Tamandua tetradactyla: one gene and its partners. The protein of the gene in region 1 binds, or shares a complex with, the protein of each later gene. Links are inferred from orthologs where the notes say so. Each region holds a gene or a part of one and is shown on either strand. Other genes may lie near its edges. The genes, in order: MYBL2, TFDP2, E2F4 and RBL2.

Evidence for each region.
Region 2: MYBL2 (region 1) and TFDP2 share a complex: the UniProt entries of both Homo sapiens proteins name them as parts of the DREAM complex. The link is inferred for Tamandua tetradactyla from reciprocal best matches to the Homo sapiens genes MYBL2 and TFDP2.
Region 3: MYBL2 (region 1) and E2F4 share a complex: the UniProt entries of both Homo sapiens proteins name them as parts of the DREAM complex. The link is inferred for Tamandua tetradactyla from reciprocal best matches to the Homo sapiens genes MYBL2 and E2F4.
Region 4: MYBL2 (region 1) and RBL2 share a complex: the UniProt entries of both Homo sapiens proteins name them as parts of the DREAM complex. The link is inferred for Tamandua tetradactyla from reciprocal best matches to the Homo sapiens genes MYBL2 and RBL2.

Annotation. Positions count from the first base shown.
Region 1 is NC_135327.1:8,518,823-8,525,934, forward strand, and holds the start of MYBL2 (myb-related protein B), read right to left. Parts: upstream 3,005-7,112; 5' UTR 2,976-3,004; coding exon 2,956-2,975; intron 1-2,955. UniProt on the Homo sapiens protein: Transcription factor involved in the regulation of cell survival, proliferation, and differentiation. Transactivates the expression of the CLU gene.
Region 2 is NC_135341.1:86,245,275-86,252,895, reverse strand, and holds the start of TFDP2 (transcription factor Dp-2), read left to right. Parts: upstream 1-4,606; 5' UTR 4,607-4,692; intron 4,693-7,621. UniProt on the Homo sapiens protein: Can stimulate E2F-dependent transcription.
Region 3 is NC_135342.1:60,882,879-60,890,078, forward strand, and holds the start of E2F4 (transcription factor E2F4), read left to right. Parts: upstream 1-4,190; 5' UTR 4,191-4,226; coding exon 4,227-4,361; intron 4,362-4,790; coding exon 4,791-4,900; intron 4,901-5,035; coding exon 5,036-5,197; intron 5,198-5,519; coding exon 5,520-5,563; intron 5,564-6,221; coding exon 6,222-6,283; intron 6,284-6,506; coding exon 6,507-6,804; intron 6,805-7,200. Other genes in the region: EXOC3L1 (exocyst complex component 3-like protein), read right to left, coding at 1-115, 243-360, 440-1,052, 1,536-1,755, 2,181-2,246, 2,511-2,657. UniProt on the Homo sapiens protein: Transcription activator that binds DNA cooperatively with DP proteins through the E2 recognition site, 5'-TTTC[CG]CGC-3' found in the promoter region of a number of genes whose products are involved in cell cycle regulation or in DNA replication.
Region 4 is NC_135342.1:47,206,688-47,213,863, reverse strand, and holds the start of RBL2 (retinoblastoma-like protein 2), read right to left. Parts: upstream 3,011-7,176; 5' UTR 2,870-3,010; coding exon 2,627-2,869; intron 1-2,626. UniProt on the Homo sapiens protein: Key regulator of entry into cell division. Directly involved in heterochromatin formation by maintaining overall chromatin structure and, in particular, that of constitutive heterochromatin by stabilizing histone methylation.

The DNA of each region.
Region 1 (7,112 bases):
ACGTACTCTCACTTAATGCTACCTGACCGACAGGCACTGAGTGCTGGCGGCGGCCTGTCAGCTCCAGGGCAAGGTCTGGGGGAGGAAGGCTTTACACTTCTATACTTTTGAAAAAATCAGGCACTTCCACCCTACTCTTCTTTTTAATTTTAATTAAATGTGGTTATGGGTGGTTTTTTTCCTTCATCCTCTTTCTTTTAACAAAAGTTTTAATGTTTCAAAAGGTACACCCCCCCAAAAAAGGTTAAGGTTTCACCCAGAATGTTATCATTGACACTCAAAACCAGACTCCCATTTCATGTTTTTCTTCTGGATTTAACAATTTTTTTTAACTTGCAGAATACCCGCAACCTGTATGGATAGAGTAGGGATTAATGCTGATGATAAATGTAATCATTATGCACGGATTATAACAGGATTTTAAGAAAGTACTAACTTTCTGGGGAAAAAAATTAAATCATTATCTCAGTAAGTATTTCCATTTCTGCATATTCCTTTTCAATCTTTGCCTACACACAGGCAGAGTCAGAGAATTATGGATTATTTTATTCTAGAACAGGCAATTTTCCAAGTTGCTCCAAAAGCCTCATAATTTTAATGGCTGGGAAAATGGGGTTCACACTGCTCACCTCCAGGGATGTCAGGTGCCCACGGAAGGTTAGTAACCTTCCAACGCCATGCATCAGGGCCCTACACCAGGTCGCCTTCATAACGTGTACTCTTAAGTCAGGAATTCGTAAACTGAGAAAAGCCTAGACATCTCCAAATGACCAAGGCGATCGCAGGACTTGTGCCCAGAGGAAGGAAGAAGGCTTCCTTTCATGTCCATGTTCTTTTCCCCTTCTTCGCTAGAACCTGGCATCACTTCCTAGAGTCGCTCTACAGCACAACGGAAAAACTGTCTCAGAATGTAGGCTCTTAGGCTGCAGCTGTCTGTCTCCTCTACGATTATCTTGGGTCAGCAACATCTCTACATCCACAGAGGACCAGATGTGGGTTGGCAATGGAGGGCCTTAATGAGTGTTTGCTCAGGGAATGGCCGGATACACAAAAAATGAAAAAACATGTGGAACTGCTGCCTATTAGCTGACAAGAAATGTTCAAGCAAAATTTTTACAAACAGGAGAGGAAGCAAGCTTGTTTAACTAATCAGCTTCATCCCGTCATTTGCACCCCACTGTACAGGGTCCTTCCATCACTGCAAAGTAGCAGGCAGAAAATTTACAAAATATTAAAAGCAAAACGAAACTGGCTTAAGCTGCCCCAAACTACTTGTTGAAAGAAATCGCCTCTGCTTCTCCAGCAACACAGCATGGGGTGTAGCTTCTAGCGGGAGCTCAACAAATGTTCCCTAAAGGGTTAAAGGTGTGTCTGCCTGGAACTGGTGCCTCAGGGCTCTGTTAATGGGACAGCATCTCAGACAGCTGAGGGAGTCCTGTGAGATAATATACTCACAGGACATGGTGCTGGCTGTCCCCTTCATATGCGCTACCATTACTCCCATTTAACAGATGTAGAAGTGGAGGCGCATAGTGTTAAGCCACTTGCCATTTCAGTCCCACATATCCTTTCTTTTGCTTTGTTGTTTGTGCTTGGCTCTGTTCCAGGGCCAGGGTGAGTCAGAGCCTAAGGAGGAACAAGGGCACTGGGGTGGATAATTACAGTAAATGGCCAGGAAACCAGCTAAGGGTTGTGGGGGTACTAGGATGGGGACCCATCCCCCACACAGGAGGTGGGGGGAGGTTACTCCACTAAGCTTCAGGGGAGATGCAACTGCGGAGAAACTGGGGATGGAGTGGGGATAGTCACTTCCTGGAGCAATACTTCCTGAACCAAAAATCAGACAGGGTCTGACAAGTGCCCCAGTACTTCCAGGGACCAGAAAACTACTCCTGGCAATTGGACGGGCCCTAGGATACTGTGGCCTGAGGAAGACAGTCCCTGTGTCAGGGACCTTGCCACTGCCCAGGGATGGGACTTCCCTGCTAAGAGGCACTGCAGGGAAAGCCAGCTATGAGTCAAGGTCTGTAACCTCCACCCAGAAGGTGAACACCACCATCTGCAGTGGGTCTAAGGTTTGTCTGGGCCAAACGATTCCAGGGAGGGAACGGGGTGGAATACCACTGTCCCCTGACTCCCAGATTGGCCAAAAAGCCCAGAGCTCAGGCCCCAGGCACACAAGTGTGACAAAGGGAACTGGGGCCCATGGACCCGGCTCCAAGCTCGACTCTGCCAATTATCCTCCGAGTGAATAAGTAAGAGACCGCAGTTCCTGCCTTTACCCCAGGGGCTGCTGGCTCCCAGCGGACTCCATACACATCTGGCTCTCTTCCCCTCACCTGCAAACCTAGATGCCAAAACTCCCCGAGTAGAACAGGAAGAGGGGTTTCTGCAGCTAAACCTGTCCGGGCCCGGAGCCCAGATGGAGGAGACAAAAGAGCCCCCGGCCAGCACCCTCCTCGGGCCGCGGCAGAGGGTTTGGGGTGCTATGCTTCCCGGGATGCTGGGTTGAAATGCCCACCCGCAAATGTGCACGTAACTGAGGTCTGAAGGATGTCTTCCAGGTTTTAACCTCCCACTTTACTGTGACTCGAAGGGTCACTTTCCCTCTCCAGGGATCGCTTCCTTCCCATGTAAAAGCCTTTCCAGCTGACACCGGCCGTCCCACCCCCACGCCGTAATTAGGCGGGAGACAAAATGACATCATGCAGGGCCTGGCCCGGGTCCCAGGAGACCCGCCCGCCACGGCTCGGAGACTGAGGAGGCCCGAAGAGCGGAGCGAGGGGCTCCCGAGAGCCCCCCGGTTTCGCGCGCGCCCGTGCCTCTGACCGCCCAGGCGGCAGCATTTCCCGCGGAAACCCCCACAGAGGGATCACGGCGAAGGCATGGGTGAAGGTGGGGAAGGTGGGGGGAGGGGAAGGGCAGGGGACCCTCAGCCCGCCCTGCCCTGCTCACCCGCGCGTCCGCCGAGACATCCCCCCGGCCCGGGCCGCGCTGCGCCCGCCCGCCCGCCGGCTGAGCCAGGAGCCGGAGCGGGAGCCGGGCCGAGGCCGGGGCCAGGACGCGGGCTGCTCCGGCCGCTCGGGGCCCCCGGGCCGGGCTGGGCGCCGTCAGCTTGTCCGCAGGTCCCGCCGCCCGCTTGCGGGGGCAGCCGAGCCGCCGGCGCGCACAGAAGCACTTTCCTATCTCGCGCCAAGCGCGACGGCGCCTCCGGGGCCTGACGCGCGGGCGGGAGGACGTGCGTGGGGGGCGGGGCCTGCGGGCGGGGCGGGGCCACACGGGCCCGGAACCCGAGAACTTCAGAGCCCCCGGGCCCCGGGAAAGCGTGAGAGTGGCAGGCGTCTTGGAACTTGCCATTCGCCGCGGGCTGCCGTGTGACTGATGCCTGGCTCAGGCCGAGCGCGAGGGAGGCTCCACGACGGATAGTCACGTCGGGCACACTGTCTGTGCAAAAGCCCCAGTAGTCCGAGTGGCGCTCCTGGGTCCCCACAAGCCCCTACCTGGACCAGGGCTGCTCCTTCGTCTCCGTTTCCTCTCCAGCCTCGAAGTCTCCTCGTAGCCCAACCGACCCTTTTAAAATGCAAACTTGACCTTCCGTCTCCGAGAACTTGAAGCCCTCGCTTCTCTTCCTCCGGGTAAATTCCTTACTCCCTATTCAGTCTTACAGGATTCTGCGCGATCACCGCCCTCCCCTCCCGCCCGGGGCCAAAGGAAAATTCCTAGCCTTCTTGCCATTGCTTGGACCAGAGACACTTTCCACCCCTCCAACTTGGCCAGTTCTTATTTATCTTTGCTGCCCATTGCCCGCAATCTGCTTGTTCACTTGCGTGATTCCCCCTTTGAACTGTGAACATCTGGGGTTAAAGGCCTCTGGAGCCCCCTCGCTATCCCCAGGCTCAAACCTTGGCCAAGGCCCCATGTAAACGTCTATCGAGCTGACTCTAATTTTTTACCTACTTAAACTCCTAGAAGTATAGAGAGGATTTGCCATGAGTTGCACCCAGGACTCCCTGGTAGTGCTGGGGCCAAAGTGAATGAACTATGGGGCAGGAGCTTGGGAGACCCTGCTTGTGCTATGGATCCCTCTTTCAGAAACTGCTGGCCACCTTGGCCAGTCTGGCCAGCAGCGGCACACTTACCACAGCATGAGGAAGACTGACATGGTAAGTGCTAGAACCTTCCACATCACTTCATTCAGAGCTCCTCCCACCTCAATGTAATTACTTTTCTCATAAAGTAATTCATGTGGACACCCCCTCTTCACTGCTGGAGCATAATTTAAGAGTTCCGGCTCTCAACCAGACTGCTTGGAGTTTGGATCCCAGCTCCACCACTTACTAGTGGAAAATCACTCTTCTGTACCTCAGTTCCCTCATCTACAAAAATGGGATTTACTGGGGGGTGCAGGGGTAGTTCAGTGGTAGAATTTTTGCTTGCCATGCGGGAGACCCGGGTTTGGTTCCTGGTCCATGCACTTCCCATAAAACAAATAAACAAATTCAACAAGTGGTGCTGCAATGACAGTATACATGGAAAAATAATGACATATGACCCCGCCATATAGCATACACACAAAAAAGGCATTTATTAAAAACTTCAATAGCTATTACTCTGTACCAGCCACTGTTCTGTGTGCTTTATAAACATTTATTCATTTAATCTCTATAATAACCCTATGGGGTAGTCATTAGTTTTATCCCCTTTGGGCAGATGGAGGAACTGAATCACAGGCTTCCCCAAGGTCACACAGCTAGTGAATCGCAGAGTAGGGATTCGAAACTGCACTGTCTAGCTCTAGAGTCTATGCTCGTAATCACTTCACTGGTATCCTCTGTAGGGTGGTTGTAAGATTGAATAAATTAGTATGTGCAAAGCACTGAGGACAGTCCCTGGCACATAATAAGTACCCTATTACTATTAGCTTTTATTATTGTAACATTTCTGCTACCCTCACTTTTTCTTTTGAGGTCCAGGGAGCCCTTTGCACACACCACACACTCTTATGTGGACAGGGATGGACAAGACCTGGCAGTAGATTCAGGATATTTGCCCAAAGCAAGAGGCAGGAAGCAACTGAAGTCCACCTGGAACCTAGAACTGAGGCCCCTTGACCAGTCACTGGAGTGGGAGGGGCCTGGAGTCGGTACAGGTGTTCAGGCAGCAAGGAGATCATCCTAGTGCCAGCTGAAATCTGGTAATCTCCACCAGTATATTGTCTCTAGTTATCATACCAACAGGCACCTCCTCCCCACCCCAAGAAAGAACTCCCTGCATCCTGGATGTAGCTTCACCAGGGAATGGTCCCTGGGCCCAGAATTAATAACACACAAACTGTACTTTGCTGGCAGACTTCCTGACCATGCCCTTCTCAGGCAGGGAGGCATCAGCCATTTGGTCATTCTACAGTCTGCCCCTGGAAGACAAGTCTGCTCCACCCCAGGTCCCAGACCCAAGCCTTGCTCCTGCATTGGGAAGTCAAGGATCAAATCTATTTATTAAATGCTCAGGGCCTCGCACCAGGCTGGACATAAAAAATGATGAGTAGCATCCCATGGCCCTTCTGCCTGGAGTCTTTCCCTCTCTACCTACTGAGCACCCTCCTTGTCATATGTGTCCTCCTAACTACACTTACTCTACCCCCAGTTTTGTGGTTCTCTCCAGTGCAGAGGGCAATTCCACAATCATATTTTTAGCTTCAGACCTTTACCCTATTGCTTGACTCTTGGCAGGTAGTCATGGAAGGAGTTTCACACATTTTTTTAATTTGAGTGAATTTAATGTTACAAACTAACATTTCAGGTGGAGAGTTAGGAAGGCAGGGACCAGAACTGAAAGGACCTGGAATGCTAGTTTGAACTTTATCTTGTGTGGTATAGAACATTGAGAGAGACTTTGAAACAAAGGACTGTTTTTCAGTAAAACACTATTTGCAAATTAGTTATATTGTTTGAGTTCCAGAAAAGGAACAGCAAAGTATTCAGTTCAGAAAATAATAGCTTGATATTACTGGGGAAGAAAACATGTGCCAGATATTACTGGGGAAGAAAACGTGTGGCACATGTTCTACAGTCATCTTGCATTTAACGCTCACCTCAATGTGAAGCAGGGACTATGTGGTTCCCTATTTTAAAGATAAAGAAACTTGGGCACAAAGATGTTAAGTTGTCATGATTACCCAGCTTGCAGCAAAGCACCCACAATTTGAAATGTTTATTTGGAAAGTACTGTTTGTGAAAATATGCTGAAATAATTGAGGCTAGGCTATCATAATGAGATAATCCAAACCATGCATACTCTCCAGAAACTCACCAGCTGATAGGGGAGACAAGGAGTAAAGAGAAAATTAGCCATTTAAGGGTGAAGATCAACTACAAGAACTGTGGGTGCCTAACCAAGAGCAGATTTGAAGGCTTTTCGAAACTGAGTGACTTAAGGAATTTGCAAGGTAGCCATTGTGGGGAATAGTACTTCATGCAGAGGGAGCAGCCAGTGCATAGCAGGAAGGATTAGGAAATACTCAGGGATTGGCAAGAAAATGAAGTCATTCTTGACTCTTCTCTCACATCGCTTTCATCTGATCTATCAGTAAATACTATTGGCCTCAAACCCTTATCTTCAAAATATATCTAGGTGCAAAACACACATAAAAAGATACTTAACATCATTAGTTGTCAGGATGAAAATTAATACCAACTGGGATTTATAAACCTGTTAGAATAGCTAAAATTAAAAAGAGTAATGTTAAATGTTGGTGAAGATGGGGAGTAATTATACTTCTTGAATATTTTGGGTGGGAGTATAAAATTGTACAACCACTTTGAAAAACACTTTAGTGGTTTGTTAAAGACCACTTTGGAAAACAATATAGCAGTTTCTTAAAGACTTAAACCTATATCTACCATATGACCCTGCCATTCCACTCCTAGGATTATATAAGAGAAATGAAGGCTTATGTCCATACAAAGACTTGAACATAGCTTTATTTGTAATAGTTTCAAACTGGAAATAACCCACATGTCCATCGACAGGTCGTTGGATAAATAAATTGTAGTGTATCCACACGATGTAGTATTACTTGGCAAATCTCAAATTATGCTAAGTGAAAGGAGTCA
Region 2 (7,621 bases), on another chromosome or scaffold:
TGGTGGTCTCAGCAGCACATCCTTAAACCCACTTTCCCTCCTTCAGGTTCCCTGCTGTCTAGCCCAGCACTCCTGTTCTTTGGATTCATCTATCAAAATTACCTGCACATAAGAGCTTCTCTCAGGGGAAGAAGGGACGGAGACTAGGCCAAGATCTGTGCCTTATCAGTTGCTAAGTATTTTGCTTCTCACCCTTGTATGTAACTAATGACATGTGCAAGAATATTCATAGTGGCAGATTTTATAATGGATAAAAAAGATGTAAAGGACCCAAATGCCCTATCAATAAGAAAATGGATTATGTAAATTGTTATTTTTGTGTGAAAATGAATAAATTGCACTTAGCAAGAGAGATGATGTTAAACATAATGTTGAGGAAAAAAGGGTTTGTGGATAAATAATGGCTTGGCACCAAATACATGAGGTGCAAAAACATGCGAAACTAAAGAAGAGATTTGGCTAGGAGCACACAGGTGTCCAACTCAGAAAGAGAAACCCGGGATGGCGGTGCGGCCTGGGTGCCGGGCTCCTCTGGGAGGGCAGCGGGGCTGGTGGGGACGCCGGGGCGGCAGCTCTCCTCCTCAGGCTGCTGTGAGGGTCCAGCCAGAGTCCTCCGGCCTCACATCGCTTACTGTACATGTCTGAGGATGAAGAAGATATTTTATCGTAAAAAGGGCTTTAGGTTTGGGATTAAGAAGCTGCCTTTATTCCACGTGGCTGTGAAACCCTTCCCGTCCCCTAACAGTCACCCCAGAGGTGGACTGGCCTGGCCCCAAGGTGGCCCGACTGCCCACAGGACGTGTCCCCAGGGCAGGTCCGACCTGACGCTGGGTGTGTCGTTTCCCTTGGCAGCCCCGGGCAGATTAGGTGCCACGGGGCACTTAGAAGCAATCCTCTCTGGACCCCGCTGACCCTGGGCTGTGTCTGATGAGAAGCTGTGACCCAGCGTGTGGCTGCCTGCCCTGCGGCACGCCAGGAAGCGTGCTGGAAAAGCGGCCTACACTGCGCCCCAGAGCTGCGGGTCTGAACCCCGGCTGGAACCCCCTACGACTCCTGAGCGCATCCGTGTGGGAGAGGCCACAGGCAGGTGTCCTCACAGCCCACGCAGAAAAGAGCGTCCAGCGCCAGGAGTGGATGTGAGGATGGAGCGGTGGCAGGTCACCTGGTCTGTGACAGGTCACCAGGTCTAACTGTGGCAGGTCACCTAGTCTATGGTGGCAGGTCACCAGGTCTAAATGTGACAGGTCACCAGGTCTAACGTGGCAGGTCACCTAGTCTATGGTGGCAGGTCACCAGGTCTAAATGTGACCGGTCACCAGGTCTAACGTGGCAGGTCACCTAGTCTATGGTGGCAGGTCACCAGGTCTAAATGTGACAGGTCACCAGGTCTAACGTGGCAGGTCACCTAGTCTATGGTGGCAGGTCACCAGGTCTAAATGTGACCGGTCACCAGGTCTAACGTGGCAGGTCACCTAGTCTATGGTGGCAGGTCACCAGGTCTAAATGTGACCGGTCACCAGGTCTAACGTGGCAGGTCACCTAGTCTATGGTGGCAGGTCACCAGGTCTAAATGTGACAGGTCACCAGGTCTAACGTGGCAGGTCACCAGGTCTAACGTGCCAGGTCACCAGCTCTCAAAGTGACAGTCACCAGGTCTAACGGGGCAGGTCACCTGGTCTAGCTGTGAGGGAGGCTGGTCTTCCTCACACGGCGCTTGGCCCCCTAGTGGACAGCCCACACAAATGCAAGTGGGAGATTGACCCTCCTTCTTCCCCGACGCCCTCGGCCGCCGCACTCTCATCCCTTCCATAACACCTGCTCTTCTTCCCTTACGCACCGAAGAGACAGTAGCGAATACAGGGTGACAAGGCTGTGACCCCCCCAGAGTCACAGGATTCGGACACGAAGTGCGCAGTCACGAGTCCGGTGAGTGTCAGGAAGGCCGTCTGAGTCGCAGCGGAGCACAGCTGGGGTGGGGCTAGACGAAGCTTTTCCGGAGAAAGTAGTTAAGCTTAGACAAGAACTAGGGGATCGCTCGAAGCACCAGAAACACCAGATTAATGGAGCTTTTTGGACATTTATATTTACTTCTCCAACGCCCGCCACTGTTTCGGGCATACAGTAACTACTTCCTAAGTTTTTGCTGAATCAATAAGCTCGATTCTATCACGGTTTAGACATCTACTCGCCAGAACCGGGAGATGGTGGAAGCTTCATTTTCCTTTTCAGAGAGAAGAGGATCCTTTAATGGGGAAGTGAGAACGAAGAGGGAAAATTGACTGTTGTGCAAATTGCTCAGCTGGAGTTATGAGTGGGAAGGAAAATTTGATTTACATGAAGTTTTCCTCCCTGTGGCAACTTGATGATTTATTCTGTTCTAGAGAATTTTCAGTTTTTGGCTTCAAAACCAGGCTGTTCCTTATTCTGAATTTCTTGGCCTGCTGTGAAATCGGCTTTTATTGTCTTTTACAGCACGTTCTGATGAGCTCATGGAAATTCACAGCTAGATCACACCAGTATATGGGAAATTTGAAACTTGGTCCATTTTACGTTGTGGTATTAGGAAGTGTTGTGAAACACCTACACATTTTTTTCAAAATCAATATTATTGAATGATTATAACAATTTCCATCATTTCTTGAATATTTACTATATATATTATATAAGCAAAATCCTCATATTAACTGCAAGAAAGGGGAACTGCATGAAAATTGTCGAATACTGCCAATTTCATATGATTCAATTTAGTATTACCTTCACTTCACTCTTAACCTTAGAAACATTAATCCCCGATTTCTAAACCATACCCTTACCGCATAATTGGGCATACTTTTTTTTATAGATAAGAGATATACTGACAACTACAGCTTCTCAATAATGCCTTGCCGCCTAGTATAGTCCCCGAGCCCCAGTGTGTACTTGCACCATCGCTGCCTGACACGTGTATTGGGGGTGGGAGTCCCGTTCCCTGGCTGACCCAGTTCCTGGAAAGGGAGGTTCTGTCCGCCTCAGTCGTTTTTGCATCTTCAGTGCCTAGAGAGTTCGATAACTATTTGCTAAATCAAATTGAATATAACCTTAACAAAATTTCTTGTAGGCACTAAATAGATCCTTATGATTTGTTAGTGGAAAATGTAAGTTAATCGCTCCTCCGGGATTTTGGCATTTCAGGACTGGGGGAGTCCTGCATCCGGCGTTCTTGGATTCCGAGCCCTTTACCTAAGCGCAGTTACGCAGAAATTGTCCCCCACAAAGATCCACGGTGCTCTCGCCCCTCCATCCTCGTTTAACTGCTGTCTTCCTTGATCACCGTTTTTAATACTGAAGCCACCTGTGAGCACCTTCTATAATTAATTTTTCCGTAGCCTTGCCAGCATGTAACTTTCTATTCTGCTTATTTTTTCTCTATGGTCTTTCCCACCCCACTAGACCGCAAGCTCCACCGAGGCCAGCGGGTCTGTTTTGTCCACAGGTGTGTCCCAAGCATCAAAAACAGTGTCTGCCCTTGTGTCTGATGCTCCTTTTATCCGTGTATGGGCAGATGAGTAAAAAACAAAGATGAAAAACAAATAACAGGGGGGATAAGGTGTAAAATGAATTGGGTAGATGGGAATACTAGTGGTCAATGAGAGGGAGGGATAAGGGGTAGGGGACACATGATATTTTAATTTTTTTTCTGGAGTGAGGCCAATGTTCTAAAATTGGCCACGGTGATGTGATATGTGAACCGCTGGCTGTACACCATGGCTAGACTGTACGTGCGTGAAGGGTTCTCAATACACTTTTTTTTAAAGACATACTTATCAAGTGAAAAGTAAAAAAGAGCGTTTATGGGAACAGAGAAGCGCGGGAAGCCCGGACCCGCGCCGACTCCGAAGAGGGCGGGGCGGTGTGGCGCGCGGCCCCGCCCCAGGCGGGAGGGTTGGGGCAAGGTTTGTTTATCTTCGCACGCACGGCCGGCTCGGCCAATCCGCCGCGGGCAACGCCTTGCGTCATGCGTCCAGCGGACCAATGGGTGCGCCCCGTGCTGTCCCGCCGCCAAAGGGGGCCACAACGGCCCGACGGCGCCTCGTGGGCTCGGGGCCGCGGCGGGAGCACACTTGCCGGCCGGTCGCTGCCCCGCGGGGCCGGGAAGGGCAGCGTCCCGCGCTTGCTCCGCTCGCGGCGCGGGGTGACCGCCGTGGGCCCGCCCTCTGTCCGCTCCGCCGCCCGGCCCGCGCCGCGGAAGGGCCGCGTTCTCCGCGGGCCTCGGAGGCGGGGCTGGCCGGTCGCTCCTCCTCCGTCGCGGGGCCGGGTGTGGTGTTCCTGAGGGACGCCCTGGAGGCCAGTGGAGGGAAGGGCCCCGCGCCGCGGTCCTCCTTCCCCGGAGATGGCCCCCTCACGCAGACGCAGCCTCCGCCCGTCCTCGGCGAGGCAGAAGCACGACCTCGGTGCCGCTCGGGACGACCCGGAGAAGTCGGCGTGGAGGACGGCCCGCGGCAGCCCGCCTCCCCGGTCATTGGGCCGCCTGTCGCGCGGCGGAGACACCGCCCCCGTGGCTGCGCGCGCCTGCCCCCCCCGCCCCGCCCCGCCCCGCCCCCAGCCCGGCGGAGATGCGCCGCCCGGAGCCGCCCCCCGCACGCGCCTCCCGGGGCCCCCAGGGCCGCGCCGCCCGCCGCCTTCTGGGAGTGCAGGGGCAGCGGCAGCGATGGGGTGCGTACGTTGGCTCGTCGAGTTCCGAGACTTGCTAACCCTCCCTTCTCAGCTTTCCTCCTTTCTGCTTGTTTACGTAGGAAAGAAAGCTGAAACTTTCTAGTGTGCAGGACTTCGCATTGCCATTTTGTGATCCTGTCATTTTCCGCCAACTCCTGTGAATGTGTGGTCCAACGGGCTCCTTCGTATTTTCCCGTTACAGCCGAAATTCTGAAACTACCTGGTCTGTGTACGCTGCAGTGCAGCTTGAAATGGGGTGTAGCAATAAGCTCACCTTTCATGTGGAAAGCGTGTGCTTGTGGATCAAAGCTGTACGCTAAAACATACCCTAAAATGTTCAAAGAGCAACTTGTTTAATTAGGAATTGAGATGTTAGAAATACTGTCTTGTTTTGTACATAATGCATGAATTATATTTACATAGCACTTAGCTGTTTTAAACATTTTTTATTATGATATATATACAAATCAATAAATTCCAACGTTCATTGTATCCAGGAGTTATAGAACAGATTTCAGAGTTTGGTATGGGCTACTGTTAACAGTTTTAGGTTTTTCCTTCTAGCTGTTCCAAGACACTGGAGATGAAAAATATCAGTATAATGATATTATATTGTTTATGTTATATTGTTAAATCCTGTCATCTCTGTTACAACTCCTCCTTCTCCTTTCATCCTTCTCCCAGTCTTTATGGGTTGTTTGGGTTATGCCCATTCTAACGTTATCATGTTGGAAAGGGGTGTCAAGAATATGGGCTCAGAAGATGGAACTAGTGAGACTGGCTTCTCTGGTTTTCAGGACTTATCTAGTCTAGGATCTCATCTGGAGGTTGTGTGTTTCTGAAAAGCAACCTTAATTCGTGAAATTTTTGTAGACTCTCACATAGAGTCGTAGGTGTTCTTTAGGGTTAACAGGAATGGTTTTGGTCACAGTTTGCAGACCTTGGTAATTAGCAATAGCTAGCTGAAGCTTGCATAAGAGCAGCCTCCAGAATAGCCTCTTGACTCTGTTTGAACCCTTTTAGCCACTGACACATTGTTTTGTTACAGTGTTGTTCCCCCCTTTGGTCAAGAAGGTGTTGTCTCTTCTGTGGTGCCAGGTCCAGGCTGGTCCCTGGGAGTCATGTCCCATCCTGCCAGGGAGACTTTCACCCCTGGATGTCTTGTCCCACGGTAGGGGGGAAGGGCAATGATTTCACTTGCAGAGCTGGGCTTGGAGAGGGAGGCACATCTGAGCAACAAAAGAGGTTTTCTGGAAGTCACTCTTAGGTATAACTATAGGTAAACTTAGGCTCTCTGCTACAGAAATAAGCTTCACAAAAACAAGTGTCTAGGCACTTTGCTATTTTAAAAGGCTTTTTATGTATTTGAGAGTTTTTAGAACATGGTAAGCAAATAGAGTAAGAAAAATAAAATAAACAAAAAAGGTGGTGAACTAGAACCTAAGTATTCTGATTTCTAGTCCATTGTTTCTTTTATCATTATAATTAGAGAAATTGTTGGTTTTCAGAACAATCATGTAGAAAGTACAGAGTTCTCACAAACCCATATACCTCCCCTCTACCTGCATGCCTGTCGTTTTCCATATTACTAACAGATTGCATTAGTGTGCTGCTTTTGTTTCAATTGATGAAACGGTATTACTGTAGATAAACTATTAGTTGTAGGCCATAGTTTACATACATTAGGGTTCATTCTTCAGGTTGTTCAGTTCTATGGTTTTTTAAAATTTTTATATGATAACATATAGATACAACTAAGAATTTCCCATTTTAACCACTTTCAAATATACATTTAAATGGTGGTAATTGCATTCACTGTGTGCTACCATCACTACCATCTGTTATGAAAACTTTTCCATCACCACGTAGAGAAACTCTTTACCCGTTAGCATTAATTCTTCAGTCTTTGACTCCATGGCATCCTCTGGTAACCTGTGTTCTAGTATTTGACTTTATGAATTTGCACATTCTAATTATTTCATATCATTGAGATTATACAATATTTGTCCTTTTGTAGCTGACTTATTTCATGCAACATGATGTCTTCAAGGTTCATTTATGATGTAGCATGTACCAGAACTTCATTCCTTTTTGTGGCTGAATAATATTCCATCATATATATATATATACCACATTTTGTTTATCCATTCATTATTTGATGGACACATCGGTTGCTTACCTCTTTTGGCAGTTGTGGCTAATGCTACTATGAATATCAGAGTGTAAATATCTGTTTGAATCTCTGCTTTCGATTTTCCTGGGTATATACCTAGCGGTGGGATTGCTGGATCATATGGTAGTACTCTAGACTTCTGAGAAACAACTAAACTCTTTTTCACAGTGGCTGCACCGTTTTGCCTTGCCACCAGTAATGAATGTATATTCCTGTTTCACCACATCCTCTCCCACACTTATTATTATTATTTTTAATAGTGTCCATTCTAGTGGGTGTGAAATGGTACCTCATTGTGGTTTTGATTTGCATTTCTCTAATGGCTAATGATGTTGAGCATCTTTTCATGTGCTTATTAGCCATTCGTATATTCTCTTTAGAGAAATGGCTATTCTAGTTCTTTTGCCCATTTTTTGATTGGGCTGTTTTGTCTTTGTTGTAGAGTTGTAGGATTTCTTTATATATTCTGAATATTAAACTCTTATCAGATATATGTCTTCCAAGTATTTTCTCCCATTCCATAGGTTGTCTTTTTGCTTTCATGATGAAGTTTTTTGATGCACAAAAATTTTTAATTTTGATGAGGTCCCATTTCTCTTTTTTTCTTTTGTTGCTTATGATTTTGGTGTAAAGTATAAGAAACCGTGGCCTAACATAAGAAAACATGTTTTATTCTAGGGTTTGTATAGTTTGGGTTCTTATATTTAGATCTTACATCCTTTTTGCATTAATTTTTGTAAATGGTATGTAGTAAAT
Region 3 (7,200 bases), on another chromosome or scaffold:
TGGCTGGCATTGGTGAGTAGTAGAAGCCGGATGGGTCCATGTCTGGCTCCTGTTCCTGGCCCCACTTGGCTACCTCCCCATCCAGTGCCTTCTGCAGCCACTGGGCCACACTTGCCTGGGGAAAGGGGTAAGAAGCAGCAGGAGGTAGCAACGCACTGACCTTGCCAGAGACAGTGACTGTACAGACAAAAACCTACAACTAATGATCAGGGCTGCTCTGGACCCATGCCCCAACCACTCACCTGGACTTTGGCCACAAACGTTGTCTCCAGCCACTCCACATCCTCCAGGGACAGTAGGGGCTCCAGCTGAGACACATCAGCCTCTGGCCCTAACTCCAGACTCCCCATCATTTCTGGCCTGAAGATGGGTAGCTGGGGGTCATAATGAGTCCCCAGTCTCCAATCCACCCACTTCCCGCTGCCCTCAGGGCACTGACCCCAGGTACACATGCAGGGCCCAATGCAGAAGGGTGAAGGCGTCAGCAGCACCCAGCTCAGGCCCTGCAAGGACCTGCTGCAGGCTGCGACGCAGGCCTCTGTGCAGGGTATGAGCCCATAGCTGGACCACCTTGTAGTGCGGTGGGCAGCAGGGTGCTACTAATGCCTCAGCTGTGGCCAACTCGGCTGGCAGTGCCACCTGCAGAGCCTCCAGCCACTCTGCTAGGGCACCTGGCCCAGGCAGTAGATGTGTCCCAAAGTGGACCCGCTCCAGGCCGTCCTGTAGAGCCTGCAGACAGCGCTGCCGCCAGTTCCGGGGGGCCTGCCCCAAGGCAGTTGTGCGTCTAGTCTCCACCTCAGCCACGCGCACAGCAGCCACCAGCAGGGCAGGGTCCTCCCGGGCCAGCTGTCCTGCAGTTCCTGCAACCATCTCCACAGCCTGGCCCAGTGCCTCAGCCAGAGGGCCTAGCCCCTCAAGATCTGGCAACTCCAGGTCCCCTAGGTGTGCCCAGGTCTCCTCTCTCAGCTGCTCCAGCTCCCGCAGGCTCACATATGCCTCGAGGAGTTGCTGGGCATCAATCAGGGACTGTGTGTGGGTCACTGCAGCAGGCACTAATGAAGAACACAGGAGACAGCCCTGGTCTCAGAGTTAATACCTGTGCAACAGGTGCAGCAGGTGAGGAGACCTGGGCTGGGGTGATATGTAAATGTTAATAATCAGTACGGTGGAACACTGGCCCATTGGAAGGGCACAAGTGAAATTCTAGAAGCCTGGTGGACCATGTGTGGACCCTTGGGCTGATGGAACAAGAGGAAGTCAGGGATTCCAGAAGAAGTTAGGGACCACACAAATGGCTTTTCACCCACCCTGTTAGGAAAATAGTTCACTGTAACCAGGGTGCCTGTGTATCAGTCCTAATTCAGACAACCCATGCTTGGAAAACCCAGGATGAACTGAATTACATATGCTTCACATGTCATTTGAACCCTGGGAGGTTCCTGGTGTGTCCCTCCATGTGATCCCCACCTAGTGCCCCAGCCCCTTGATCAGTGAAGGAGCTGGAGAGCTGAGGCCTGGGACCCCAGCACACTCACCTGCCTGCAGCCGGGGCAGCAGCTGAGACAGGGCCTTCAGTTGTTTATGTTGGGCCACCTGCTCCTGCAAGGGTGCTAGGGTCTCTGCAGACTCAGCCATGCTCTGGAGCAACCCACAGGCCTGGCCCAGGGCCTCACGGGCTCCCTGCATGGACTCAAGGGCCTGTGCCAACTGCCCCACACCAGTCTGCACGCCCTCCAGGTACGACTGCATCACTGACTGTGGGAGGGAAGCCATTAGTGAGGCCTGGACAACCCCGCAGCACATCTCCAGTACTCCTGCTCCCCCAAACTTCATGCCTACTTTGATGCGAGCTTCCAGGGAGCAGGTGCGTTGCATCTCGCGGCTACGGTACTGGCCCAGCCTGGTCAGCTGCTCGGGCCGGTAGAAGATGCCGGAGGCCCACTTGAGCGCGGCACCCCGGGCCAGCTGCTCCGCCTTCTCCTGCTCTGGCCACTCAGGCCCTGGGCAGGAAGAGCCTGGGCAGCTGCGTCAGTCTGGCAGGGCCTGCAGGAAATGTCTGCCGAACCTGCCCCCCTTCCCGCCTGTCCCCTAGCTCCAACCAGACCTGCCAAGGAAGGACCCAAGCCCACGTTCCCATCTTCCTTCCTTCATCCCTCCCCCAGCCCACCCAGGACTCATACCAGGCAGAAGGGCAGGCTCCATTTCGTCCTTGGCAGAGTCCACGGCGGGCCCTGGAGGAGCTGGAGCTGCGGTAGGAATGCAAGGCAAGGATCTGGGTTAGAATGAGCTCAGTGGATGCTCCTTTGAGCTGCAGCCTCTGTCTAGGCCCCTCTAAGAAGGCGGAGGGTGGTTTTTGCCCAGCCCCCTCCGGAAATGAGAGGGAGGCCTTACCTGCTGAGTTTCCTAGTTGTGCTCCTCCAGACACAGTGAGGCAGGGTGGGCACAGGCCTCCGCTGGGCCCTGTTCCTGCTCTGAGTTGCAGGGGACAGTTTGGTGAGTATGGGACTCACCAGGCTTGCATAGGCACTCAGTTCCCCCTCCTCTGCAGACGGCCTTGGCCTTGATGATGGCTCTGTCTCCTCCAGTCCTGCAGCTGAGCTTCTCACTCCCTTCCCTCCCTCACAGGGTCTGGGTGACTCCAGCCCACTCCTGGCCATGCAATAGAATCCCTGTCCCTGGGGAAACCTCTCTCCCACCTCCCAGCCCCCTTCTCCCTCCAAGGCCCCTCCCTCCCCAAGGCCACACACAGAAAGGAAGGAAGCTGAGTCTCTGGTGCTTTATTCCCAACAGGAAAGAGCTTCTGCACTGTGGGATGAAGTGGGGAGGGCTGGGGCCACCTCCATGAGGGTTGGGGGCTGGGGGCTGAACTCTCTGAAAACTGCAAGTCTTGTCCAGCCCACTTCAGGACCTCCTTCGTGCTCAGGACCCAGGCATACCTGGGGCGGGGGTTGGGGTGGGGTGTGCAGATATGGATGCAGACTACAACACTGCGGTATGAAGTGTGTTGATGGGAAAGTGCCTGCCTCTGCAGAGGAGAGTAGCCACAGGCTGTTCTGAAGAGGCTGTGTGGTAGGTGATGGTATGAAGGGGGTCACAGGCCTTGAAAGCCGTGCCAAAGAGGTGGCTTCTTGTCCTCAGAGTTGTAGGGAGTTTTGGAGGGACTAGAGGATAGTACTGGGTAGCGGCCACTGTACCTCCCAAATCTGCCCTACAGGCCTGAGGGCTCACAGCTGCATCTTCTCGGTCATTATTAAGGTACATAGACCCAGATCTTTGTCTGGATTTAGAACATCTCTGAAGGGCCAACCCAGCTTCAAAACTCCTAATGGGATGGGCTGAGGGCTCTATTATAACTGCATTCTAACTTAATTCCTTTGTCTGCCTGATTTCGGCTTCTTGTACTCCCTTAGAAGCGTGGATCCCTGGTAAACTTTTTGCAAGCATATCCATGATTCAAGGTCTGTTTCCCAGAGAACTTGACCAATAGTAAAACATAATAAATAACAATGTTAAAAATAAAATGATACTAGCAAGAACATATTCCGCTCTCCGTGCCAGAAACTGCTCTAAGTGCTTTACACACATTTACACGTAGATAAACATGTTTGCATGGGCTAAAAAGTGGTTGTAATCTTATGGCAGCAACTAGACCTTTGAGCGCTGTGGTGTGGAGCAGAGAAAGAAGGAAGAAAGAAAGAACTGAGGCTGGGACCAGAGCAGGAGGTTTGGGATGTAGAGGAAGTGGACAAGCTAAATGTAGTTAGCGCTGGCTGTTAGGAAATGAAGGACAGGAATAGGGTGGGGCAAACTCCAGGAAAAGGTTTAGGAGAACATATTGGGTTCAGCAAGCAGGGTGGTCTCCTCTCCCAAGATAGGGTCTGGAGCGGAGTTAGCAGTGTTAAGGAAGGTTGGCAAGAAAGGTTCCGGTGACATTCCCTTCTCTACTGCGGGGGCCATCCACTGACGTCCTCCTTAGCCCTCCCAACTCTGTCCTGTTTTCGGGATCTCCGGTTTGTTTTCGCCCTCCTTGGCGGTTAAATTTTTCCGACGGTTCCTAACGTTTTGCGGCGGTGCTCACATGAAGGAATTGCGCCAAGTTCCCTGGAAGGGAGGAAGCGGAAGCAGGGTCGCCGGCACCGGCAGCCGGTCGACCAGGAGCGGAAGCGGAAGTGGCGGCGGCGCCGGCCTGGCCTGGCCTGGCTGAGGGGAGGCGGCGGGCGGGCGAGATGGCGGAGGCCGGGCCACAGGCGCCGCCGCCCCCGGGCACTCCAAGCCGGCACGAGAAGAGTCTGGGACTTCTCACCACCAAGTTCGTGTCGCTTTTGCAGGAGGCCAAGGACGGCGTGCTTGACCTCAAGCTGGTGCGGCCTGGGCTAAGGGGACGACCGGAGGAGTTGGTGGTGGATTAGGCCTGGCCGGGAGCGGGAACCCCTGGGGCGGTCCCACTGCATCTTCCGAGAGCAGGCCGCCATCGTGTGCTTTCTCACAGAAGGGAGGTCCCGGAGATGTTTCATTCATTCGGCAAAGGGCATTGAGCGTCAGCTGTGTGCCGGCGCGGGGCTGCAGGTGCTGGCCCTCGTGGCTGGCTCTGTGGTCCCAAGTTATGTAGTGCCTGAGTGGAGGTTTGGGACTCAGGTTGCCCCCTTGCCAGACAACTGCACATCAAGTCTCAAGGTAGCTGGGGCCTGCTGACCTGACGGATGCAGTGGGAGTTTTTGTCTAATAGATACGTGGCTAGGAGTACACCTGGGAAAGGGGCTGACCACCCTCCACTCTGTTCTGTCTGCCAGGCAGCTGACACCCTAGCTGTGCGCCAGAAGCGGCGGATTTATGATATTACCAATGTGCTGGAAGGTATCGGGCTGATTGAAAAAAAATCTAAGAACAGCATCCAGTGGAAGTGAGTGGGGGCATTTAGGATCTCTTATGCAGAAGTGTCAGAGGCGTAGGGTGAGGGAGGGTGTGTGCAAGTGAGAGCAGGGGCCAGGGGACTCAGTTCCTGGCAGCCTCTCTCAGCTCCGTTTCCTGGGCTCAGAGGTGTGGGGCCTGGCTGCAATACCCGGGAGATTGCTGACAAGCTGATTGAGCTCAAGGCGGAGATCGAGGAACTGCAGCAGCGGGAGCAAGAACTGGACCAGCACAAGGTGTGGGTGCAGCAGAGCATCCGGAACGTCACAGAGGATGTGCAGAACAGCTGATATCCTGCTGGCAGTCTTTACTTTGGGGGCATGGGTGAGGGGCCCTCTGGTCCAGATGGGTTTGCTCTCTGGTGCCCTTAGCCCTGTGTCTCTTGGGAGGATGCTCCTGAGGCTTCTGGCTGGATCGCTTCCTTGGGTTCCCTCCTCAGAGTTCCTTCCCCTCCAGACTTGGCTTGTCGTCCCTCCCCATGTGGACTTCAGACTCCAGTACTTTTTCTGAGGGTCTTTATCTCAGACACCTGCTAAAAAGCTGTGTCCTCTCTGTGGTCGCCATTCTGTTACCATAGACAGGGCATCCACCGTTCTCCTTAACCCCCACACCTTGGCCTACGTGACTCATGAGGACATCTGCAGATGCTTTGCTGGTGAGCAGAGCCTGGGTAGGGGGAGATGGGGGTGGGCCTGGGTTGAGCCACAGCCCTGAGCATTGGGCTCAGTGCCCAAGAAGAGTTCCATCTCTTAGGAGGGTTCCTGGGCCTGACCAAAGAGAAATCAGGCATGGGTAAGTCTGTAGTCCCCACCTGCACCATTCCCTGGGCTTGGCCTCTTGGGCATGATGGAGGGACAAGGAAGAGAGAGCGTTTGTGTGTGTGTGTGCGCACATTCGCATGTGTGTGCATGCTTATATGCAGGGGACAGTGGTGTCCACTTCTAATGATAGCTTAGTTTCATGTGGGTACAAGAGCCGTTCCTTCTCTACCTTACATCCCCTAGGTTGTTCCTGGGGAAGGGATGTTGGCATTAGAACACCTGAACTTAGGGAACAGCCCCATCAGTGCATCAGTGAGGTATTCCTGACTACCGATCTTTTGCTTTGTATATTTGAACCCATATTTTCTAGTTACTGGCCACTGGACTCTTGGTGAGAGAAAAGCTTCAGCTTCCTACCCCATCCACTGTGGGGTGTGGGTGAGGCCTACTGTCTAGCCCCTCAGAGACCATGATCTGCTGCAAAGGGCAGGCACTCTCATTCCAGCTGAAGTTGAGTCTGTGGGCTCTGACCCATCCTTCCTCTCATTCTAGGAGACACCCTCCTGGCCATCCGGGCCCCATCGGGCACCAGCCTGGAGGTGCCCATCCCAGAGGTGGGTGCTCAGCTCAGGCAGGCGGGGATGACTGAGGGCGGGTGCTGGCTGTGGAGCCTGATAAGTCCCGGGTGGGGCAGGTAGGGGGAGGCCTGGGGTTTGGGGTTATCTAGGAGGACGGGCAGCCTGGGGTGGGAGAGGACACTCTGGCCCTGACCCAGGAACAGGCAGGAGCCAAGTCTGGTCCCAATACCTGTCCACCATCCCTACCCCCAACCTCCAGGGCCTCAATGGGCAGAAGAAGTACCAAATTCATCTGAAGAGTGTGAGTGGCCCCATCGAGGTGTTGCTGGTGAACAAGGAGGCCTGGAGCTCGCCCCCTGTGGCTGTGCCTGTTCCACCACCGGAAGATCTGCTCCAGGGCCCACCTACTATCTCTACCCCTCCACTTCTGCCCAAACCTGCCCTGGCCCAGCCCCTGGAAGCCTCACGCCCAAGCAGTCCCCAGCTGACCACCTCTACCCCTATCTCCTGCAGCACCGAGGTCCAGGGGGTGGCCAGCCCAGCAGCTGAGAGCACAGGTGAGGCATGATTGGCAGCTAGTGAGGAGGTTATTTCCTGGCACCCAAGAGCTGCACCTTGTGTTATGGAATGCGATGCCAGAGCTGGAAGGGACCCTGTTGGAGTTGTCCTTTTCCTAGCCCCCACCTGGCCTCTCCTTGCTATGGCAGTGAACAAGCTCTTTTTAACAGGGAAACTGTTTGATGGGGCCTTCTTATCCCCCCACCCACCCATATCCACCTGTGCCTTACTTTCCCTGGCAGCCCCTCCTGAAGTTTGGCCACAGCAGCCATGTCACCCATGAGTTCCCTCCAGCAGGCCTCATGCTTTGCCTCCTTCAGTGACTCATTTCCAAGTTACCTATTCTGGGTATCTGCCAGTGCCTGGCTCTCCTTTGGCCTGGGATTTAGGATTGT
Region 4 (7,176 bases), on another chromosome or scaffold:
TGATGGATAGACAGAATGATATAACAAGTATGGCAAAAAAAAGTTTAAACTGGTGGATCTGGGTATTGGGGGAGAAGGATGAGGTATGGTGGAGTTCTTTGTATGCGGTTTGTATTATTTTATTATTGTACAAGTTTAAAATATTTCAAAACAAAAAGTCAAAACAAAATTTAATTTACAACTGAACTTCTCTCTCTTACATCCACATATCTTATTAATATAAAATTAAGTCACAGCATTATCCTGTGTTTTAATGAAAGGTTTGCAGTAGATGATTTTTAATGGTCTATTTTGGTTCTAGGGAATTTACAACCATATCATTCCCAAAAAGAAGAAACAAAATTAGTCTTACATATTATAATTTTATAGTGCTTAAAGAACAAAGTAGACTGAGGACCTATTTCTTAATTAATGTAGGTCTACTAGGCTACAGACAGGTTAAAAGCAGGCTCCGTACCTGGTTTCCCTTTGGTCCTAAAAAATGTTTGTTGAAAAGCCCCTGATGCCCACAACTCCCCTCCTCCACCAAAAAAAGGCGTCACTCTCAAAATTAACAACTCATGGTCATACACCTATGGGGTCAAGTAGATCTGGGTTTGAATTCCGGTTCTGCCATATATTTACAACACCTTGGGAAAACTTCTTAGGTTCAGTTTTCTTACCTAAGGATAATGAGAATTAAATGAATTAATCATAAAGCTCAGAAAATACAAGCAATCAAAAAGTACAACTCTATAACCAGTATTCTGTATTAAATATCATGTGAGCTTTATTTTCCTTTGTACACTCCATGAGAATGACATTCCATGTTATCTCACATCATATCTAAATATAATGTCCACCATAGTAGGAATTTTTACCAGTTTTCTTCATTGCTTTATCCTCAGTACCTAAAACAGTGTACACAAAACAAAGAAATATTTGATAAATGGATGGAGTTTCATGCATTAACTGGGTAAACTGAGCTAAGAAACTGAAACTGGAGTCTTTTCAAAAACTCAAGTAATAGAATGTGTTTTCAAAAATAATTTACCTCCTATCTGCTATGCACTTACATAATGCTGGCCTTCATAAAACTTAACCTTTATATATCGGAATAGTTCTACAGTATGGTGATAATGCTGGCTGTACCTAATTTGCAGGATTATCCTGAGGGTAAAATAAGAGCTTCTTGGAGGTCCTTAGGCCCTGATCAAATTAAAAAAAAAAAAAAAAGGAGTCCTCTTTGCCAGACCAAAGGACAGAAAGCACTGAGAGATAAAGAAAAGCATGGTCTTTCCAGCCATATCATTGAGTACATGAAAGAACTCTGTAAGATCTAAAGCACTGTCCATATGAGTGCCTACTATGTACCAGGAACACACATTACCTTATTTAACCTTCAGAAAAGCTCTGTGAGGTAGGTAAAAATAACTACCGTTTATTTATCACAAATTTGAATTTTGTAGCAGTTTTGTCTCAAGTCATCTAGGTCTGTCAAATCCCCAAGTATATTACTCTATCTTTCGGTAGATATAACAAAGGGGAAGAGGGGGTAGTAGATGAAATAAAATTCTATTAATGCAATAAAATTTTTTAAAAAAATAACCTTTGTCAGCAATTACACTTTAGGCAAAAACACAACCGAGTTAAATAATAACGTAGATCTTCACACCCTGGGCCTATTTGCCCTACTCTTTCCACAAACCGCATATGAAACAACTTAAGAAAAACAAATGGCCTCATGTGTAAACGCCAGACACACGGGCAGTGAAACAGCTGATAAACCACCCGGACTTCCGTACCACTTTCCATTCGGCCCAAAAAGAGGAGACCGCCTGCTCAGTTGACGATTACTGGCTAAATGACCATTTTTCCCATCTGTGCGACCCATACGAAGAAAGAGACATGACATGCCTGGGTCATGACATGTCCTGTGCAATGTCTGAGGTGACCAAAAAAGATCCTCAGAGCAGTCGCAGCTCTGACTCACTGGTGATTAGTGGGGGCGTGCTTCTATATCCCGGTAGGCAAAAAGTTCATTTAACTTGACCTAAGGAAGATTAGTCTTACTACCGTACATAAACACGGCACGAAATTTAACAATACATTAATTCAAACGATTCGATGCCTCAATGAAAGCAATTTGGTACAACAGGAAAAGAAGTGGAGGAGAAGCCTAGAGACCTAAGGCGCTAAAATCGGATCAAACGCTGAGCGAACCTGGGCAAATCCCCTTCCTTCCCTTCTCAGTACAGTGTTGACAACCACACATGTTCATTCTGCCAATCGGGTACTCAGGGCTGCAAAACGACCACACAGGCCCATTTCTGTAATGGTGACTGCAGTACAACCTCAGCCTCGCCGTTTTACTTAAGGACAAGACGTGTTTCCCATTCTGAGCCAAGAGGAAAGAGCAGCAAGACCAGATTCACCCTCAGAGCCGCTAAGAGACTTTTAAAAGCCTAATTTCCAAGACTACAGTGGGCAGAAAGGATTCCCATCCCGCTCCAGGCTGGGCGCCCGGGGCCTCTCCTCGGGTCCCTGCGGGTCGCCCCGTCCGGGGTGAGAAGGCGGGGCCCCATCTCCGGAGCGGGACACAACCACTAGGCCCCGAGAGCCCCCTCGCCTCCTCGCACAGACGAACCTCCAGCGTGTAGCTCTCGCTCATGTTCCGGTAGCTGTCCCAGGCCTCCGCCCGCGCCGCCTCGTCCATGTTCAGGCGGCTGCACAGCTCGTCGAACCGCCGCTGGGTCTGAGTGGCCGGCGATCCGGCCGGCTGCGCGACTTCCCCCGCCTCACCGTCGTCGTCCTCCTCCTCAGCCTCTGAGGCCGCGGCCGCCGGCGGGGGAGGCGGGGGCGGCGGCGACTCGTCGCCTCCAGACGGCATATCGCACCCCAGGGCGGCTGGTCCTCAGGATAGTCGAGGGCCAGGACCCAGAGCCATTCAAACCGTGAAGCGCCCGCCCGTCAGTCGCTCTCTCCACGACTGCGCTGCTACCAACGGCGCGGGACCTCTTATGGGCTCCAGTAGTTGTGAGCACGGCCTGCTGGGAAATGTAGTCCAGTCCGGAGGCTTATGTGGGCCAAAAATTACGTAAAAAACTTGTGTCGTCACCCCTGGGCAAAAGGGTTTCTCCGCGTTTTAAGTGCCTCTCCACGGCGAGACCATCTAGCAGAGAGAAAAAGAAAATGTCCAAGAAACGTTGACAATGAAGGTTTAATGTTCAAGCTGTCCCTAGAAATCATAACTCCTCGTAACCTGGGTTTCTTTATCTAAAAAATTAAGATAACAGCAAGGGCTTATTTGCCTAAATTCAAATCTCCACTCCGCTCCTAATTTCTAGTTTTATCCTATGTTTTAATTTTATGTGAGCCTTTAAAGTAGCTATTGGATTTTTTTTAATGCAGAAATTATTTTTTTTCCATAGGGTGACTTTACATTCCGTCTAACTCACATATGTGTACTACTCTCAGCCACCCAGTTGGTTTAACTTTATATAAAGCTGTGTGTGTGTGTGTGTGTGTGTGCGTATGTGTGTGTGTGTGTGTGTGTATTAAATAAGAATTGCTGTCTTGCTATTTTTGCTTTGCGCAGTGTGGTATGTAAACTGAGGTAGAGAACTAAACTGCTTGGGACAAAAAAAAAGGAGTTATGGAAGATATAGGGGGAGGAGAGAGGATAGAGAGGGGAGACTTGGCTAGATAACAAGACACCTTAGGGACAGTTTGGAGACAATGAAACCCTCTCTGTGAAACCTGAGGTAAAATTCACATTAATTAGTGACCCTTTTAGGACTGAATTTGCTTTGTCAATGCTCAGTTTCAAGGTGACTCTGGGACAAGAATAGAAGCCCTACACAAACAGTTTACACGCATTTGAAAGAAGTTTGTAAAAGTTCTCTTTCCTTATATTTAGGATGGAGATACTAAATTTTAAAATAATGATCTTACTTATTTTGTATACTATTATCACACTTTACCAGGGGTAAAACTTGAATTGTTTATTGAAGTAAAATGAACTTCACTATTTTTAGTAGAATTTAAACTTTATTCCCATTACATATGTATTTTATTAGAATATGATTTATTTTAATATGGTTATATTAATATTTCTTTTTAGTCTCCAGTGTCTTGGAGCAGTTAGAAGCAAAACTTAAAATTGTGAAACTGTAACCTATACCAAACTTTGAAATCTGTTCTATAACTAATTGTTAAAATGTTCTCTGAACATACTAAATTACTTTCCAGAAACCTACAACCTGTAATTGGAATCCTAGGCCAGATAAGTCCTGAAACTCAGAGGGGCCAGCCTCTCCAAGAAAATCAACTAGTTCCATCCCCTGATCCCATACTATTGACACCACTTTCCAACATGAAAAAGTTAGAATGGGCATAACCCAAATACCCCTAAAGATTGGGAAAAGGATCAAAAGAGGAGGAGTGTGCTGGTTTGAAAATATTATGTTCCCCCAGAAAAGCCATGTTTTAATCTTGATTCAGTCTTGTTGGGGCAGCTGTTTCATTTAATCCGGTATGTTGGAAACTTTTGATTAGAATATCTCTACAGAGATGTGTCACGCCCAATTGTGGACATGACCTTTTGATTAAATGGAGATGTGACCCCACTCATTCCAGGTGAGTCTTAATTAGTGTACTGGAATCCTTTAAAAGAGGAAACGTAAGAGTCAGAAATGACAGAGCAGACGGAAACTTCAGAGCAGAGTTGACAGGCAGAAAACATGGATATGGAAATGCCATGAGATGTTAAGCAAGTCAGAACCTAAAGAGAGCCAAGGGAAGTCAAGAGATGAGAGCCAGCCCTGGAGAAGCAAAGTGAGGAGCCCCCACAGGAACAGAGGTTGAAAACGACAAAGCACAGGAGCTAGGGACCAGCAGACGCCAGCCATGTGACTTCCCAGCTGACAGAGCTGTTCCAAACAGTATCAGCCTTTCTTGAGTGAAGGTAATCTCTTGTTGGTGCCTTAATTTGGACGCTTTCTCTTCCTTAGAACTGTAGACTTGTAACTTATTAAATTCCCCTTTGGTAAAAGCTGTTCCAGTTCTGGTATATCGCATTCTGGCAGCTAGCAAACTAACGCAAGGAGTTATAATAGAGGATAGGATTTAACAAATGAGTATGACTGTGGAATCATTATATTAATATTTCTTTTAGTCTCCGGTGTCTTGGAGCAGCTAGAAGGAAAAACCTAAAATTGTGGGACAGTAACCCATACCAACCCTGAAATCTATTAAATGACTACTTGTTACAGTATACTTTGAAATTTATTGCTTTTTTGTATATATGTTATATTCCACAATAAAATGTTTAAAAATATTTAACATCAGTATTTTCAAGAGAATTGGTTGCAGATTGTATGTTCAAAACATGGCCACAACAAGAAACCAAAGAGTAAATATCGTATGGTCTCATTTAGAAAATAGTTATAAGAAAACTGGGGCCTAGATTATAAGCTTTTATAGCAGTTAGTCTGGAGTGGTGATTGTTATTTCTGGACATTGAGGGGCTGTTTTATATATGTATAACCTGTTTTTTAGAGATAAGAACAAAGCTGATCAGGTTGTGATTAAGATAATTCAGAATACAGGGGTAAGGAAGAAATTGCCTATATTTTAGAACTTCACCTGCTCTTTGAGACCAAAAGAAGAAAGGTTTATTTTGTCCAGAACCTAAATTTTCAGTAGCACATAATCTAGCTCAGATAACTCATTTAAACAATCCACACACAGGGAGCCCAGAATAAGAATGAGAGTCTTGAATCCTGTATAGCTTAATGTAATGCCAGGATACATCCCAGAGTATATTAAGTAGGTAATCAAAAAGTACTGGCAAAGCCCCTTGAGGAATGGGAGAAAAAAATATGAAGCTATTAAACTTTACCTCCAGGGAAACCCCGGATACTGTGTCAAACATTAGGAACACCCAAATCAATAGGCCAAGCCCTTGATCTTGAGCCTTGCTCTTGTGAAGCTTCTGTATGTAGCAGAGAAGCTTAGCCTACCTATAGGTATGCCTAAGAGCCACGTCTGGAAGACCTCTTTTGTTGCTCAAATGTGGCCTCACTCTCTCTAAGCCCCACTCTGCAAGTGAAAACATTGTCCGCCCCCCGCCCCCCCAATATGGGACATGACATCCAGGAATGAAAGTCTCCCTAGTGGTGTGGGAGATGACTCCCAAGGCTGAGTCTGGCTCTGGCTCTGTGGGATCAACAATGCCATCCTGGCCAAAAGGGGAAAAGAAGTGTAACAAATAAGGTTTCAGCAGCTGAGAGAGTTCAAATTGAGTCAAGAACCTACTCTGGAGGTCACTCTTAGTCATGTTTCAGTTAGACATTGCTACCTAGCATAGCTTGCCAAACTCCAACCAAAACCATTTCTGCCAATATTAAAGAACACCTAGGGTGTTTATAAGACTACAAAAGTTCCATGCGCTAGAGTAACTTCCTAGAAACCTACAACCTCCAGGTGGGTCCCTGGACCAGATAAGTCCTGTAATGCAGAGGGGCCAGCCTCTCCAGAACATCAACTAGTTCCGTCTCTCTATCCCATAATATCAACAGCCCCTTCCGACATGAAAAAGTTAGAATGGGCATAGCCCTAATACCGCTAAAGAGTGGGAGAAAGATCAAAGGTGATGGTGGATTTATACAAAGATGGTCAGGTTTAACAAATGAGTTTGACTGCTGAATCATTATATTGATATTTGTTTTAGAGCAGCTAGAAATAAAACCTAAAATTGTAGAATTGTAACCCATACCAAACTCTCAAATCTATTCTACAACTAATTGTGGTGATGTGCTTTGAAATTTATTGCTTTTTATATATATATATGCTATTTTTCACCAAAAAAAAAAAAGAGAGAGAGAGAAAGAAGATTATAACAGAGAAGACAGGATTTAACAAATGAGTATGACTTCTGAATCATTATATTGATATTTCTTTTGGTCTCCAATGTCTTGGAGCAGCTAGAAGAAAAAGCAAAATTTGGTGGAACTGTAATCCACCAAATTTTAAAATCTGTTCTATAATTACTTGTTAAAATATACTTGGAAGTTTTTTGTATATATGTTCTTTTTCACAATAAAAAAGAAGCTAAAATAATTTAATAGCTGACATTAAAATTTCTTCAAAGAAAGAGGTAAGGTTTTAAAATGAGCCATTTTTTAACTTTTTATT